Rhinolophus ferrumequinum: one gene and its partner. The protein of the gene in region 2 purifies or fractionates together with the protein of the main gene of each other region. This does not show direct contact. Links are inferred from orthologs where the notes say so. Each region holds a gene or a part of one and is shown on either strand. Other genes may lie near its edges.

Evidence for each region. Proteins that work in one complex are often made in the same cells at the same time.
Region 1: the proteins of PRKAG3 (region 2) and PRKAA1 purify together in Homo sapiens (affinity purification with mass spectrometry; 3 studies listed by BioGRID and IntAct, counting the BioPlex papers as one, with this or other methods). This does not show direct contact. The link is inferred for Rhinolophus ferrumequinum from reciprocal best matches to the Homo sapiens genes PRKAG3 and PRKAA1.

What each region holds. Positions count from the first base shown.
Region 1 is NC_046290.1:27,139,467-27,146,409, reverse strand, and holds the start of PRKAA1 (5'-AMP-activated protein kinase catalytic subunit alpha-1), read left to right. Parts: upstream 1-3,922; coding exon 3,923-4,049; intron 4,050-5,224; exon of another isoform or gene 5,225-5,345; intron 5,346-6,943. UniProt on the Homo sapiens protein: Catalytic subunit of AMP-activated protein kinase (AMPK), an energy sensor protein kinase that plays a key role in regulating cellular energy metabolism.
Region 2 is NC_046291.1:16,561,836-16,569,311, forward strand, and holds the start of PRKAG3 (5'-AMP-activated protein kinase subunit gamma-3), read left to right. Parts: upstream 1-4,413; 5' UTR 4,414-4,516; intron 4,517-4,963; exon of another isoform or gene 4,964-4,982; 5' UTR 4,983-4,984; coding exon 4,985-5,144; intron 5,145-5,532; coding exon 5,533-5,936; intron 5,937-6,944; coding exon 6,945-7,026; intron 7,027-7,444; coding exon 7,445-7,476. UniProt on the Homo sapiens protein: AMP/ATP-binding subunit of AMP-activated protein kinase (AMPK), an energy sensor protein kinase that plays a key role in regulating cellular energy metabolism.

The DNA.
Region 1 (6,943 bases), on a different chromosome or scaffold from region 2:
TATCTCTAGACTGACGGTTTTTTGGAGTATATTCCTGGATATCCTTACCTGAATGTCTCTTAGATGCCCTAACGTTATGAATGGATTCATTATTTCTATTGAACCCCTCTATTTCCCATCCTTCCAACAATCTCTCCAGAATCCTAGGAGGTAATTAAGATTTCTTCCTTTCTCTCTCTGTCCACATCAATCTCTGTACCTCGCTAATTCCACTTCTAAATACTCCTAGAGTTTTTCCTTTTCATACGTGGTGCTTGCCTCCTCATTTCTTCACTCGATGATTGCAAGTCTCCTGTTTTACCACCACTTTGGTCTTGCTCTTCTCCAGTATATCTTCCATACAAAGTGAGTTTAAAAATATATTTTTTTAAAGTTAATTTTTTTTGACTCTGTAATATATTCATAAGGTTTGAAAACAAAAAGTTGCAAAAGGATACACAGGAAAGTCTGCCCCTTGTGCTGGACTTAGTCACCCAGGTTCCCTTGCTAAAGGCACCAATAGCCATCAGTTTCTTTGGTAAAGAATGTATTTCTAAAATGCATTGACTTCACATCCTCCCATGGCTCATCACTGTAAGATAATGACCAAATTGAGAAGCGCACATGAGGCCTTTCAGGATTTAGTTCTGTTTACCTCTCCTTTCTTCTAAGGAGTCGCTGTGTACATCCAGATTTCATCCCCTGTAACCACTTGCTCTTCTCCACAAAGCCTAAGACTTCCTTCCCTGTGATTTTGCATATGTTGGTCCCCTTACTTGGGATGCTTCCTCCAAGTTCCCCGATACCCCATACCACGTTTTTCCTTGAGTACAAAGCACCATGTCTAAATACTCCCTTAAATGGATTCAAGTTCAAACTTTTGTGGACCTCCACTGATAAAGGTTATGCCCTCCTCTCATAATGCCCTTTTAGGACCATACATATATATTTTTATTATAGCACCTATGATATTGCTTTGCCTTGTTGGAGGCAGATACTGTGAACCTTTGCTTTTTGAGTCCTCAGAGTCGAGCAAACTGCCTAATGCCTACCTGGTTGTTGTTCAATAAATATTAGTTACAATGTAATGACAACTAAGCTAAGGAAATATTAGGCTGCATTAAAAGCAGTGTAGTTCTCAGAATTTTTAGTTCTGGACACCATGTTTAGAGATAGGCATTGAGGAAGTGTAATATCCACTTGACAGTGCAGGGTCTACTAACACTGTGACAGTCTTAAGAAAAGACTAAGGACTCACATCTCCCTTAGAATCTCTGAAGGGCTACAGAGCAAGCAGCTGACAAGTAACTAATGCTCCTCCGAGACCGGAGGTTCTCCACCAGCGATGGGTCCACCTGGTTGGTAGTCTTCATCAGCACTGTGATGTACTGCAACTTATTTGTGCTAATAAAAGCTGAAGTACTGAAGTATGAAAACTACTTTTTCCCCTCCTCTTAAACTCGAGTAGATTCAAGGCTACTTCTATAATGTCACTCCTGCCCACTTACATTCCAATATACTTTGCTTCGATAGTGGCAAAGCTGCAACTGATGGGTCCTGAAACTGGGTGTAAGCCAGTCTACCTTATCTTTGCTTTTACCCTGGAAAATGTTGAACATGTGAATATTATCTATCCTTGGGGAGGGGAGGGGGAACTGCCATCCCAGATTATGAGCTCCTCCAGGGTAAGGAACATGACTTTTCATTTTCTATCTGTCCACAGTGTCTGGAGGTTAACAGATGCTGGGAGAAAAGAAGGAAATGAAGGTCTAGACAATGGATCAATGGGAGAATTAAAGGAAGAGAGAGTGGAAGAAAATGTGACAACAATTTTTAAAAAAGAATGAAGGAAAGAGATAAAGCAAAGGATTAAAGGCAGCTCATTACTTTCTTAGAAACTGTTAACCGGATTCAGTTTTGAACACAACATAAGAAAAAAGAAACAGCAATAAAAGTTGCTTAAACAGACTATGGGAGATTGGATAAGATGGCTTCTAAGTTCCTATTCAATTCTTTGATCTATGATTTTAGGTTTTGTTTCCCCCAACAATGCTTTTGAGTAAATAGTGGTATTTAATGAATATTTATTAAATAGAATTATAATCTAAAATAATACAAAAGCAGAAACAAACTGATGTTTCTGCTAAAATATAGTCTATATTACTTTCTTAATTGGGTCTTCAAAGTTTCATAAAGATATTGGCAGTGGGTTTTCAAAATTCAACTTCAATTTGCTCCCTGGTAAGATGCTCTGTGGCTTAATTGGCACCCTATAGAGCTGAGATACCTTTTTTTTTTTCCCTTTTAGGTTAAAAGAAATAACAGAAACTTGCTGGGCTAAATTCTAGACATGATGCAAATTTAAAGTTAATTTAAGATGCTATTTCTGGTGGGAAAACTTAAAAGTTTTTTCCTCTAAGAGAATCCAGAGATCTCTTTCTGCTTTGTAGCTATCCAAAGAGCCTGAGCTGCAGAAACTCTCAAGGCAAATGGGTAAAGGTGAAGAAACCAGAAAGCAAAAATTACAACAGTAACCACTGCCTGCCCACCCCTCCCCCGCCCCAAATCTCACATCAAAGATTTCTTAACATTTTTGCCCTTCAAAATATGTGCTGTTCATAGTAGAGTAGGAACTGATGATCTACCCAAGGAGAGTTGTAACTGTTCTCTGCTTATTTTATGTAATTCTAAACTCAAATGCTTTTGCTTCTCCTGCAGCACCTTGCTTGGATCAAAGCAGTTAAAACATGGTACTTTGATGTCATAAACAGAAAGTATATAAAAATCAGGAGAGTTGGGTAACTTTCACTAGAAAAAAAGGTGATATTTTTAGTCTTTTACTTTTTATACTATTTTCATGATGAGTTCAACTCTGCCTGACACTAGCCCAAATGCTATGACACTGCAAAATTGAGATCCTATAAACTGTTGTTGTTGTTTTTTTTGGGGGGGGCACTTGATTTTTGTCCATGTTAGGGGATTATAATTGACTAACAAACTCACTTAAAAATTCTATTACAAATAAGTATACTTTCTCAACTTCCCCTCTGATATGGCGTGATCCCATTTGTATTGATAATAGACTAAATCTTACTCATTTCTAGTACAATAAATATTTGTCAACTGATCTGGTTGATGCAACAGTAATCCTTGTTTTCAGTTCAGTTCAACTCTGTATTTTACTGATAATCTAAAATAGTAATTCCTATACATCTCAGGCCCCGAACACAAATACGTATCCCTAACCTGTTCCTTCCGACAGAGTTTGCTTTGGGGAGGAAATTTCAGGAAAGCGTCCAGCAGGAAGAGAGACCGGCAACGTTACTTGAGCTGTCCAGGTGCCCAATAGTAACAACTTCTGGTTCACAGTAAAAATAAAAAGAGACGCTGGAGACCGGGAGGGAGGGAAGACAGGAGGCGATGGAAACTATCAAAGATGCAAGTGACAACTCCCAAAGGTTTCTAGATCCCACCGCGAAGGGAAAACCAAAAGGTTTGACGACAGTGGCAGTGCGGTATCTCCAACCAGGTTCCAATTCGCGCTGCACGAGTAACAAGCCGTCCATCTGCCCTACCCAAGCGGGCTTCCCCGTGCCCATCTTCCCGCTTGGAATCACAAGGAGAGCGGCTCCCCCACCCAGAGTAACACTTAGACGCAGAGAGGAAAGGAGCCAGGGGGCTGCCGCGCAGGTGGGCGGGCGCCCCAGGCCGAAGGGATGCAGGGCGAGGAAGGGGACACCGGTGCCCCTCCTAGCGACCCCCTCCCGCCCCGCCAGGGGGAGCGTCTGCGCCCGACGGCGGGCGGCGGGGCCTCCGCGGGCTGCGCAGGGCGGCGGCTCCGCGGCGCGGCTGCCCTCCCGCGTCCCCACCCCCTCCCCGCCCGGCCGCCCGCCCGCCCCCGGCGCGGCCCTGCCCGCCCCCTCCGCCCCCCTCCCGCGGCGCCATGCGCAGACTCAGTTCCTGGAGAAAGATGGCGACAACCGAGAAGCAGAAACACGACGGGCGGGTGAAGATCGGCCACTACATCCTGGGGGACACGCTGGGAGTCGGCACCTTCGGCAAAGTGAAGGGTGAGGACCCCCGGGGCAAGCCACGGCCCAATCCCAGGACCCAGGCGACTTCCGCTTTTCACACCTCTTCATCCTCCCCCGGCCCCTGCGTTCCTCGTCTCGGGCTCCGCAGCCCCGGTCCTCCCGCCGGCGGGAGCGGAGCCCAACGCGGCCGCCGGGCTGCGGCGCGGCCCTCCCGGGCCGGGTGGGGGTGGGGTGGGGACCGGTCACCATGGCGACGGCGGCGCCAGGGGCTGGTCCGTGCGAGGGGCGGGGATGCGGAGGTGCGAACTTTCTCAGGTGGGCGGTCGGGGGCTGCGCGGCGCGCTCCGAGTGCTGGGTGGGGGCGTCGGGGTCTCCTCCCAGAGCCCCGGGGAACAGAGGCTGTTCTCCCTCCGCTCAGGACCAGCCCATCGGTTCCCTGGCATTCTTTAGCATTGTCCTTATTTCTGTCCTCTTTAGAAAGGCTGTCTACTCACCTGTTCAGGCTGATTCTCCAGTGTGAAATCTGTTAGCACCAAAGTCTCGGGGTAGCTTAGAGAATCATTTAAAAAAAAAGAAAAAAAAAGCCATCTTGTCGGAAAGGATAACTAATTTTTTTCGGAGCAGTTAATGAACATAAACTGGTCCAATACTTGTGATGCATGGTTTATATTCAGAATGCAGACTCCGTGCCTTTAGTGTGTCTGAATTACCAGTTTTGCAGTCTGTATGCCAAACCCGGTAGTTAGTGCAGATGTTGCCTCCAGATAGTATATTAGTTCATTAATGCAGCTCCTTTCCATGTGTTTTCACGGGGTATTTATATTTTAATGAACAATTTAGTGCACATCGTTTGATTTTTTTTTTTTTTTTTAAGAAAAGTGTGGACTCTCTTACCCTTGTGTTTCAACACGGTATTTGAAAATAGCAAACTTGCTCCAATCTACCAATTGTGGCACAGGTTTAATTGCAAACTTTGTGACGCATAATTTTTTTAGGTATTTGACTTTTTTATTAGGGATGATGCAAAGGAAGGAAATACGGAGCTGATAATAATTCATGGAAAGGCTTTGAATAAATAATAGTGTGTGACTTGACTATACTAAGCGCTAGGTAAATACTTAAAAGAAAAAAAAGTTTGTGAAAATCTGTACAGTGAATTAAATTAGTCTTGCTCTACCAGAGCTAAATAAACATTTTCTGATTTTATCTAGGGATGGAAGAGGAGAACCCTTCCTTCTCTTGTCCTTTCTGAGTCATAGAACTGGAAAATTGCTGTATAGCTCACAGGAAGCAACTGCCTAAACCTTGTGAAAAATCAGCAAGGCCTACAATGTAAGAAAGTAAGAAGCAAATGCCAGAATAGGGTAATCACAACCATTAGGGTGGGTCTGTATTAGGTCAGGAAGATGTTTCTGTGTCCTTGAAGTTACTTATTTTGGCTGTGCTGTCTCTATTTTTATGTTAGCGTTTCCAAACTTTTCTTTTAATTTACAAGTAGGTACTGTGTTTCCCCCAAAATAAGACCTAGCTGGACAAGCAGCTCTAATGCATCTTTTGGAGTTAAAATTAATATAAGACCCGGTATTATATTATATTATATTATGTTATATAATAAAGATATATAATGTATTTATATATTATAAAGATAAAACATATTATATAAAGGTATAACACTATAATATATATTATAAAGGTCTTTAATGTAATGTAATACTGGGTCTTACATTAATTTTTGCTCCAAAAGACGCATTAGAGCTGATTGTCCAGCTAGATCTTACTTTTGGGGAAACACGGTATTTGTAAGAAATGCTCATTAATGCCCGCAACATAGTGATGACAATCTTGATGTCCACCCCTCCCAGAGTTCTGCTTGGATTAGGATGCTCATCATTCTCCTAATACAGATCTGAGCAGAGTCAGGTCTCATTTTCTTTTTTGCTAGGTGGCTTTTGGCATGGCAGATAGGAAAGCAAGAGGAAATTTTTTTGTTTTCTGGATTTGATCTGTGATGTGGCTTTGACATGAATCCCTCCAGTGACCGCTGTTCCTTAACCTTCACTCCTCCACATGTGCCTCTGTTGAAGTGTCCCACACACTGTCAAAGTCAGCAACCTCTCCAAATGTAGCAAGGACAACAGTAGTCAAAGGATCATAGGTTTCGTAGGTATGGTTCAATTTGTTCATAAATACATTAGTTGATGTCGGTCAAAATCCTCAACCAGTGCATTTTTTAAGTTGTTAAATAGGTAGGATGCTTTTTGCCCCACGTAATAGAAAATCCAACTCAACCTAGCCAAGAAAATCTCTTCCCTTGGTTCTCTCCAGAGCAAGGAAGTCCCAGCGTACCTCTCATGAGTCTTGTTGGTTTATCCAGTCCCTCTGGCCTGGGATGCCTTGTGCCAATGGCTTAGGCCTGTGTTCCTAAGTAGGCCCTAGCAAGGGAGATGGAATTACCCTTGGGGGAATATGGCCCACTCTTGGATATATGTGTGTGTGTGTTGGGGGGAGGGCATTTAAAAAAAATTATTTTTCAGTTGCAGTTGACATTCAGTATTATTAAGGGCATCTTCTTCTGAGGTACTTGGATGGTGTGAGGGGACAGGATAGATACCTACACAGAAATGGGTATTAATTATTAGGAGAGAGACGGGTACATAGATGCTCAGTGAGCAGACAAAATTAGCTAGTTTACTGGTGACATTGGTATCTTACACTGGCCTTAATTTGGTAAGAATTTTTATGACTAATATGATTAGCCATATATTTCAATGGAGACAATTTGGAGTAGATAGAGCTTTTAAAACTAAATATATTGGTGAATTAATCATAGAAAAGAAATCTAGATGTGATAATGCAATACAGAAAAATTCCCAATGTAATAGTCCACGCTTAGAGGAAATTTAATTTTTGGGAAGGAGTGGACTGTAAAT
Region 2 (7,476 bases):
CGAGGAATTGAACTGGCAACCTTGTGGTTGAGAGCCCACTGGCCCATGTGGGAATCGAACCAGCAGCCTTCGGAGTTAGGAACATGGAGCTCTAACCGCCTGAGCCACCGGGCCAGCCCCCTAGAAACACAGTTTTAATTCAGCTCCATCTTACTAGCTTTGAGATTTTGATCAAGTTACCTAATCTCTTTGTGACCTGATTTTCTCATCTGTGAAATTATAATAATAAAAGTATTTCCACATAGGGTTGTGAGGGATCACATGGGATACTGCACACGATGTGTTTTGCAGTGTCTGGTAGATATTAAGCACTGCATAAATGTGACGCATCCTGATATGTGCACACACTCGTCATATCTAACCCTACCCCAATCCCGCAATGTAAATGCATTAGTTAAAGAGGGGCTTGGCTGCTGTAACAAAGTTTCCATTTGCGAGTGGCTTAAACAAGATAGAGGTTTATTTCTCCTTATAACAGTCCAGAGGTAGACAGGTCAGCATGGGATTGGGGAGGGTCTATCATATTCAACCTGCATCTTCCGCCATTAGGTTCCAATGGCTACTGCAGCTCCCACCATCAAATCATAATTCCAGTCAATAGGAAGGGAGAAATCAACCCTTTTCTTCTAAGGACACCCTTAAAGCATGCGTATAACATTGCTGCTCAGATCCCATTGGCCAAGCTTAGTCACATAGCCACCCTGTCTGCAAAGGAAGCTGGGAAATACACCTTGCCCTTAGCTAAAATTGTGGCGATTCACTAGTAGAAGAAGGGGAAAATAGATATTGTGCTGCTAGAGCCCAACATCTGTCCACCCCTTCCTTACAAAGGGCACATTTAGCACCCCTCAAAGGGAAGCAAGGCAGTGTTCTATCCAGACCAGGTGTGGATAGAACAGGTACATGGTCTAGTACCTGTAAACCAAAAGGCAGGTAATCTGGCCCTCTTATTCCCCATAGACAACAGTGGGAGAGGAACAAGATAAACTCAATTAAAACCACCCCTCAGGGAAGAATGGCAAACACCTGGCAGTCACTAGATCTTAACCGTTACTAAATCCGGTTGGGCAGGGATTGCAAAGCCTCTTCCCCACAGTGGGGTAAATTCTTGGGCAGTGCATCTGGCCACCCCTGCTTCTGCTCTCTGGGAGGATCTCCCTTTTCTCCTCTCCTCTGTGGCCTCTGGGAAGTTTTTCCTTACCCAGTATCCTCTGCGGCTACCCTGAGAACACATCTGCCTTCTTGTAGACCTTAAAACTTTCAGAACCCTCTTCTTGCTACGGCAGATTTGGGGCAGTGGGAATAACTTTGGGGGGATGGGGTGAGGTGTCAAACCAGGCCTTGCTGACCAGATTTATGGTTTCTTTGCCAATACAATCCCCTCAACAATCTTAGAAGGCTTCTGACCGGTTCCGTATTTGAGTTGCCACAGACAATGGTGTCATTATTTTCATACTTGAATACTCTGGATTTGGTGGACTTTCTATTATTTCTCCAATGTTGGTAGCTACCTTGAGGGCATCTAAGTAAAAACATGCTTGGTGGTGAAGAGAACTTCCTTATTTTGCCCACTGGGCCGGCTTCCACTGTTTGCTGAACAGGGTGTGCTTGAGAAAGGTTTGGGACCACAGGCTCAGCCCTTGCTAAGCCTGCCTCTCCAAAACTACCTCTTATAACGAGCCTGAGTACACCTCTCTTGTAGGACTTTGCTAATAGCAGCAAGCAGCAGCCAATGTATATCAATAATCTGAGCATTTCCATGAGTGTTTCCAGGCTCTGTTAGCATACGCTTTACTTTCCAAGGTATCATGGATGACAGACATGCCACATGTTTTGCTGTACTATATAACAATGGTCACCGGCTTAGCAGCATGTAGTATTTTTCTTTGCTATCTACTCTCCAGTCTCTAAACTGATGCCATTTGTTAGAATACATGTTTCGTTGTTGTAGCAAAGACCCAATTTAAGAATGACTTAAAAAATAAAGTTTATCTCTCTCTCTCTTATAGTAGTCTATAGACATTCCAAACCTGGTAGGGTGACGCTGAATCCCTTAATAAGCATCTTATATCTTGGGTACAAGATAGCTGCACTATCTCCTGCCGTCACATTCGCATTCCAGGCAGCAGAAGGGGAGAAGGAAGAGAGGAACTCATGCTTCTTTCTCTTAAGGCCTGACCTGGAAGTTGCTCACATCACTGCCACTCACATCACATTGGCCAAATTTAGTCAGAAGGCCATGTTTAGCTGCAGGGAAGGTTGGGAATTTGTCTTTATGATAGGCAGACATTCCAGCGAAAATTCAAGTGGTTCTATTATTAAAGGAAGAAGAGAAAAAGAGATACTGAGACAACTGGCAGTCTCTGCCATCAAATGTTTTTATCTTCATTTTACATGTGTGGAAACAGGTTCAGAGAAAACAAACAATGCCTGCCAAGGTCACATGGCAAACGAACAGTACAGCATACATCTTAACAGGTCCTCTGACTCCAAAATGGGCTTTCCATCACATCCAGTCAACAAATTTGGTCATCAGTGTGCCCACTGTTTATTTAAAAGATATTCACACATGAATAGATAGATAAATGCCAGCCCAATGTACATTGAGATGTGTACACAGAACACTGGGTATCAGCCCAATGCAGTGAGGGTGATGCAATCAGGGCAGGCCTTCTCAAAAGGAGCCCGTTACTGGCCCTGTAGGTGGTCCATGTCTGAGGAGGAGAGGAGCATGAAGTACTGCAGGAGAAGGCAATGGTATGAGCTGAGCCTGTTCTGTTTCTGGCTTAGCTGTGAAGGTGGCCCTGAGCATAAGGGAGTGGGGGTTTTCCAGGTCCAATGCATCGCACACCTCCAGGGATGGTCCACTTGAGGTGTCCCATTAGCTGTGCCTTAGAAGTTCCGTCCTCTGAGACCAGACAGGAAGAGGCCACGGGGATCCCGTGGAAGGAGAGCTGCACTCACCCCCTGTACTACCCAAGACACACATGGATGGGCAAAGTCCCTTCTCTGCTCTCTTCTCTTCCACCCTCCCCACAAGTAGGACAGGGGTTTTGAGAGATGACAGGAAGTATGTTCAATAATTTCAGAAAGAAATCCAGTAATCCATTACCGAGTGGCTGTTCCAAGGCCAGAGACTGAGATGGAAAAAGCTGAAAGGAGGAGAGGAAGGGAAGGGCGGAGAGAGGAGCTAGAGCAGCTGGGTCAGCATTCCTGATCTGGACACTGACTCAGGCCCCAGGAATGCCAAAGAAGGGGGGGTGGGCAGCCGCCAGAGCTGGGCGGGGATCCTGTTGGCACCAGATGTAGGGACAGCACACACACACAACAGGATTGGGGATCTGGGGCTCCTGCATACCTGGACCTACCTCCAAACGACAGGTAGAAACAGGTGTCTCTCACTCTGTGGACAAGTGCAGGCCTGGAGCTCTCAAGCCCACCACACACCTTCAAAGTGATCATCATAGCTCCCCAACTGCCTGAAACCACCCACTCCTCCATCAGAGAGAGGAACAGGCTCCTGGGACTCAAATGGGGACATTGCCATATATTCGTCCCTCTTCTGGGACCACCCTCAAACCCCTTATCCCTAGCCTCCCAGCTGGCTGCCACTTGCCCTTTCTAACTCCAGCACCACCCATGACTGAAGTTTGTACAAGGAGGAAAGTTAAGCTCAACCTGCCTCCATTTTATCCTCCTTTGGCATCTGACAAAGATGAGAGAGGCCCTCGGAGAAAGCCAGGACTCCAAGCCCACCTCCTCCTAGCCCCAGTGCCCCCATAGTGTTTCAAGCCACCTCCCCTGCCGGAGGGAGAGTTCTTCCCACTTGTCTGCAGAGACCCAGGAGGCAGCCCAGGACCAGACGTCAAGATCCCAGGTTGCCCCTTTCCTCCCCACCCTGCCCCCAGGCTGCTGAGTGGGTGGATTCCTCCCTCCCCACTGCCTGACACCCAGTGAGAATCTGATCCCGGAGGGCAGGGTGCCAGAGGCCGGGCCCAGAATAGTGCAGCCCAGCCAGCGTCGCACACTTGCTCTCTGTTGGTCCGGTTGGCCGCATGGAGCCCGAACTGCGCAGGGTACAGGGGCTCTGGGGACGCAGTGAGTTGGGATAGCTGAGGCCAGGGGACTGAGAGCAAACCACGCTGTGTGTGTGTGTGTGTGTGCGCGCGTTTGTGTCTGACCTGGATTTTCTCTGTGTACATGAGCACATGGGTGTCTGTGTGTATATATTCTTTGTGGACATGAGAGTATGTGGTTCTTTGTCTGGGAATGGTTTGAGTGTGTGTCAATGTTTGGGTACGGGGGTGTGTGTTTATATGTGTTTGTGGGGTGGGTGTTTATGTGTTTCTATATATATGTGTGTGTTTGTGAGGTGTGTGTGTGTATATGCTCTCGTCACGCGGTGGCAAGAGAAGGGTCTGTGTTTCAGAATGGAGGGCATTTTCCCAACCACTTCAGACCCTCTTCTCCCCACAGAACCCATCCTGGAGCAGCCCTCTGGGACCCAAGCATCAAGGTAGGTGGCACGGCCTCCCCCCCATGGCCCCAACCTCTTTTCTCACTTCCTTTGTCCCCCACCTCTCTGGACCCCCAACTTCACCCACTCCACTAGCCTGGCTTTTGTCTTCCTCCCCTTTTCTTTCTTTGTTCCTCTTTGTTTCTTCTTTCTCCTTTTCCTCACCTCCTCCTTCCTCTTTCAAAAGAAGAGAAAGAGGACATAGACCCTAGTTCTGATTTTATCACCTAATGGCTGTGTGATCTGTGGGAAATTGCTTAACCTCTCTGATCTCAGGTCCCTCGTTAGTAAACTCGGGATAGTAATAATGCCTCCTTTATAAAATTGTTATGAGGTTTGAATAAGAAAAATGTTGGAGAAAAAATTTTGGAAGCTTGCAAATATTAAATATTATTATTAATAACATTGTCATTGATTTTGTTATGTTACTCCCTATTAACCAAACAGGCCCCATTCCCCCTTCCAGAGATGAGCTTCCTAGAGCAAGGAAATAGCACTTCATGGTCATCACTGGCCATGACCACCAGCTCAAAAAGGAGTCGTGGGAAACGGGGGGCCAAGGCCTCAAGATGGACAAGGCAGGAGGCTGTGGAGGAAGACGAGCTGCCAGGCCTGGGGGAAGATGAAGGTGAGGCCAAGGCTAGTTCTGGTGAGACGGGGGGTGGGGGGGAAGTAAGGGGGTGGGCAGGGGCAGGGGGGGCACTGGGGAGTCCCAGGGCCTGGGGCCCGGGCTCTGCCCTTGATCCCTTCATTACACAATGTTAGACCCTACCCTCATCTTGTAGCCTCAGTCTCCCCACATTGGAAAGGACAACTGCATTGAAGAATCAGGAATCCAATAAGGGTTACTCAGGACAGAGCCATTGTCTTGTGTGACTCCCTGAGACTCAGCTTTCTCATCTACAAAATGGGGCCCACAAGACCCAGGCGTTCTGAAGCTGCTGTGAGGCTAAACTGGGACAGCAGATGATACGGTGCTTTGGAAGGTGGCATTACTGTCCTCTCCCCCCAAACAGGTCCCCAATCCAGGCCAGCTACTGAGTCCATTGGGCTGGAGGCCACATTCCCCAAGGAAACACCCTTGGCCCAGGCTGCTCCTTTGGCTGGGGTGGACAACCCACTAACAGAGTGGGATATCCCCCCCACTGAGTGTACAGCCTCAGCTGCTAGCTCCAGCACAGACCATCTGGAACTGGGCAAAGAGTCGTCAGTCCCAGCAGCCTGCAGGTACGAGCTTGGCCTGGTGGAGGAGAGGCCTGCTCCATGCCCGTCCCCTCAGGCCCCGTTACCGAGGCAGGGCTGGGACGACGAGCTGCAGAAGCCGGAGGCCCAGGTCTACATGCACTTCATGCAGAAGCACACCTGCTACGATGCCATGGCAACCAGCTCCAAGCTGGTCATCTTCGACACCACGCTGGAGGTGAGGCCATGGCTTTGCTCACCTCCATCCTTGCAGGGCTGCAACCACTGCTCACACCCTCCAGGACACCCTGGCAGGCCAGGCTCCCCTGCAAGTCCCCTTCCAGAATTCCTTCTTAGCACCACGGAGACCAGCGCGGGAGGGCTGCTGCTCTCTGTGAGCATTCCCCAGCTGTCATCACAGCTCTGACACTTAGTATCTGTGAGATCTTCGGTCCAGCACTTTACCTGTCTCATCTCTAAAATGGGGATAGGAATGCCTGCTTTGCCCTGCAAGTTTCGGAGGATTCCTGGGACAGCCCAGGATAGATGGGAGCACTTTGTGAGCCCTGAACTACGTGGAAGACATTGCAGAATGGCTTAGGACAAAGCACAGGGGACTCTCGGTACCAGATAAATAGGATGAGCTCTGGGCCCTGCTCTTCCATTAGGCTGAGCTACAAAATGCCTATGACTCCATCCCTGTCGTCATGTATAGTAGAGCAATGTTTCCCAAAGCATAATATGTGTGTCGTCCACAGGACATGATTTGATTCTAGTGACATATGAATGCATATATTTATGTTCGTAGCTTTGCATTTATTTTGACATGTATTAGAAAAATACAACCAGCATGTTTAGATAGCATTGCCTAGGATGAGGCCAAAATGAGTCAATGTAAGATGTATTTAGAGAAAAATATTTTGTAAATGTTATGTAAATAATTATACCTCTGGTACTTAGATTAGCAAAATTATGCTATGTGTGTCTGTACATATATGACTTCTGAATAGAAACACCGAGTTACATCCTGCTGTGCCTGGTGAGGGGGTCAGCTCGGTGCCTCTGGCCACCAGCAGCCTTATCTCTTTAGCAAATGTCCCAACAGGGTCATGTATGGTGTGCGTACGGCATGAGAAAGGCAGGCTACTCGTGTGGAGGAAAGCACCATCGAGAAACCCTGGCTGGGACAGGGGACCAGTGAAGGGCCGCGAGGGACTTACCTGTCCACTGTTCTCCCTGGTCCTAGATCAAAAAGGCCTTCTTTGCCCTGGTGGCCAATGGTGTCCGTGCAGCCCCTCTGTGGGACAGCAAGAAGCAGAGCTTTGTGGGTAAGGAGGGGCTGGGAGGCAGAGGTGGTGGGGAAGGGAAAGGAGGGACCTTGTGAGGTGGTTCTGTGTTCAATTTCCCCGTTTGTGAAAGAGTTGTGACCAGCTGACCCCGCCCCCCCAGCCCTACTGCCCAGTGGTCTCAGGTCATAGATGCCAGTAGGAAAAGAGGAAAGGGAACGGAAGAAATTAGGAGAATAGAAATGGATGTGCAGAGGGGGGGAAAGGAATTAGAGGGAAAAAGGGAGCACCCCATGTCTCAGGCACAGAAGAGGCTGCCCTACTCCCCTCTTCCCACAATTCCTACTGTGTCTCAGTACTAGGACACTGGCGGGGTGGGGGAGGGGAGTATGACCCCCTCCACCTGCCTCCCACCTCAAGGCCCCAGGCCAACACTCCTGTACCGCCCTCAACTCTGCAGGGATGCTGACCATCACGGACTTCATCCTGGTG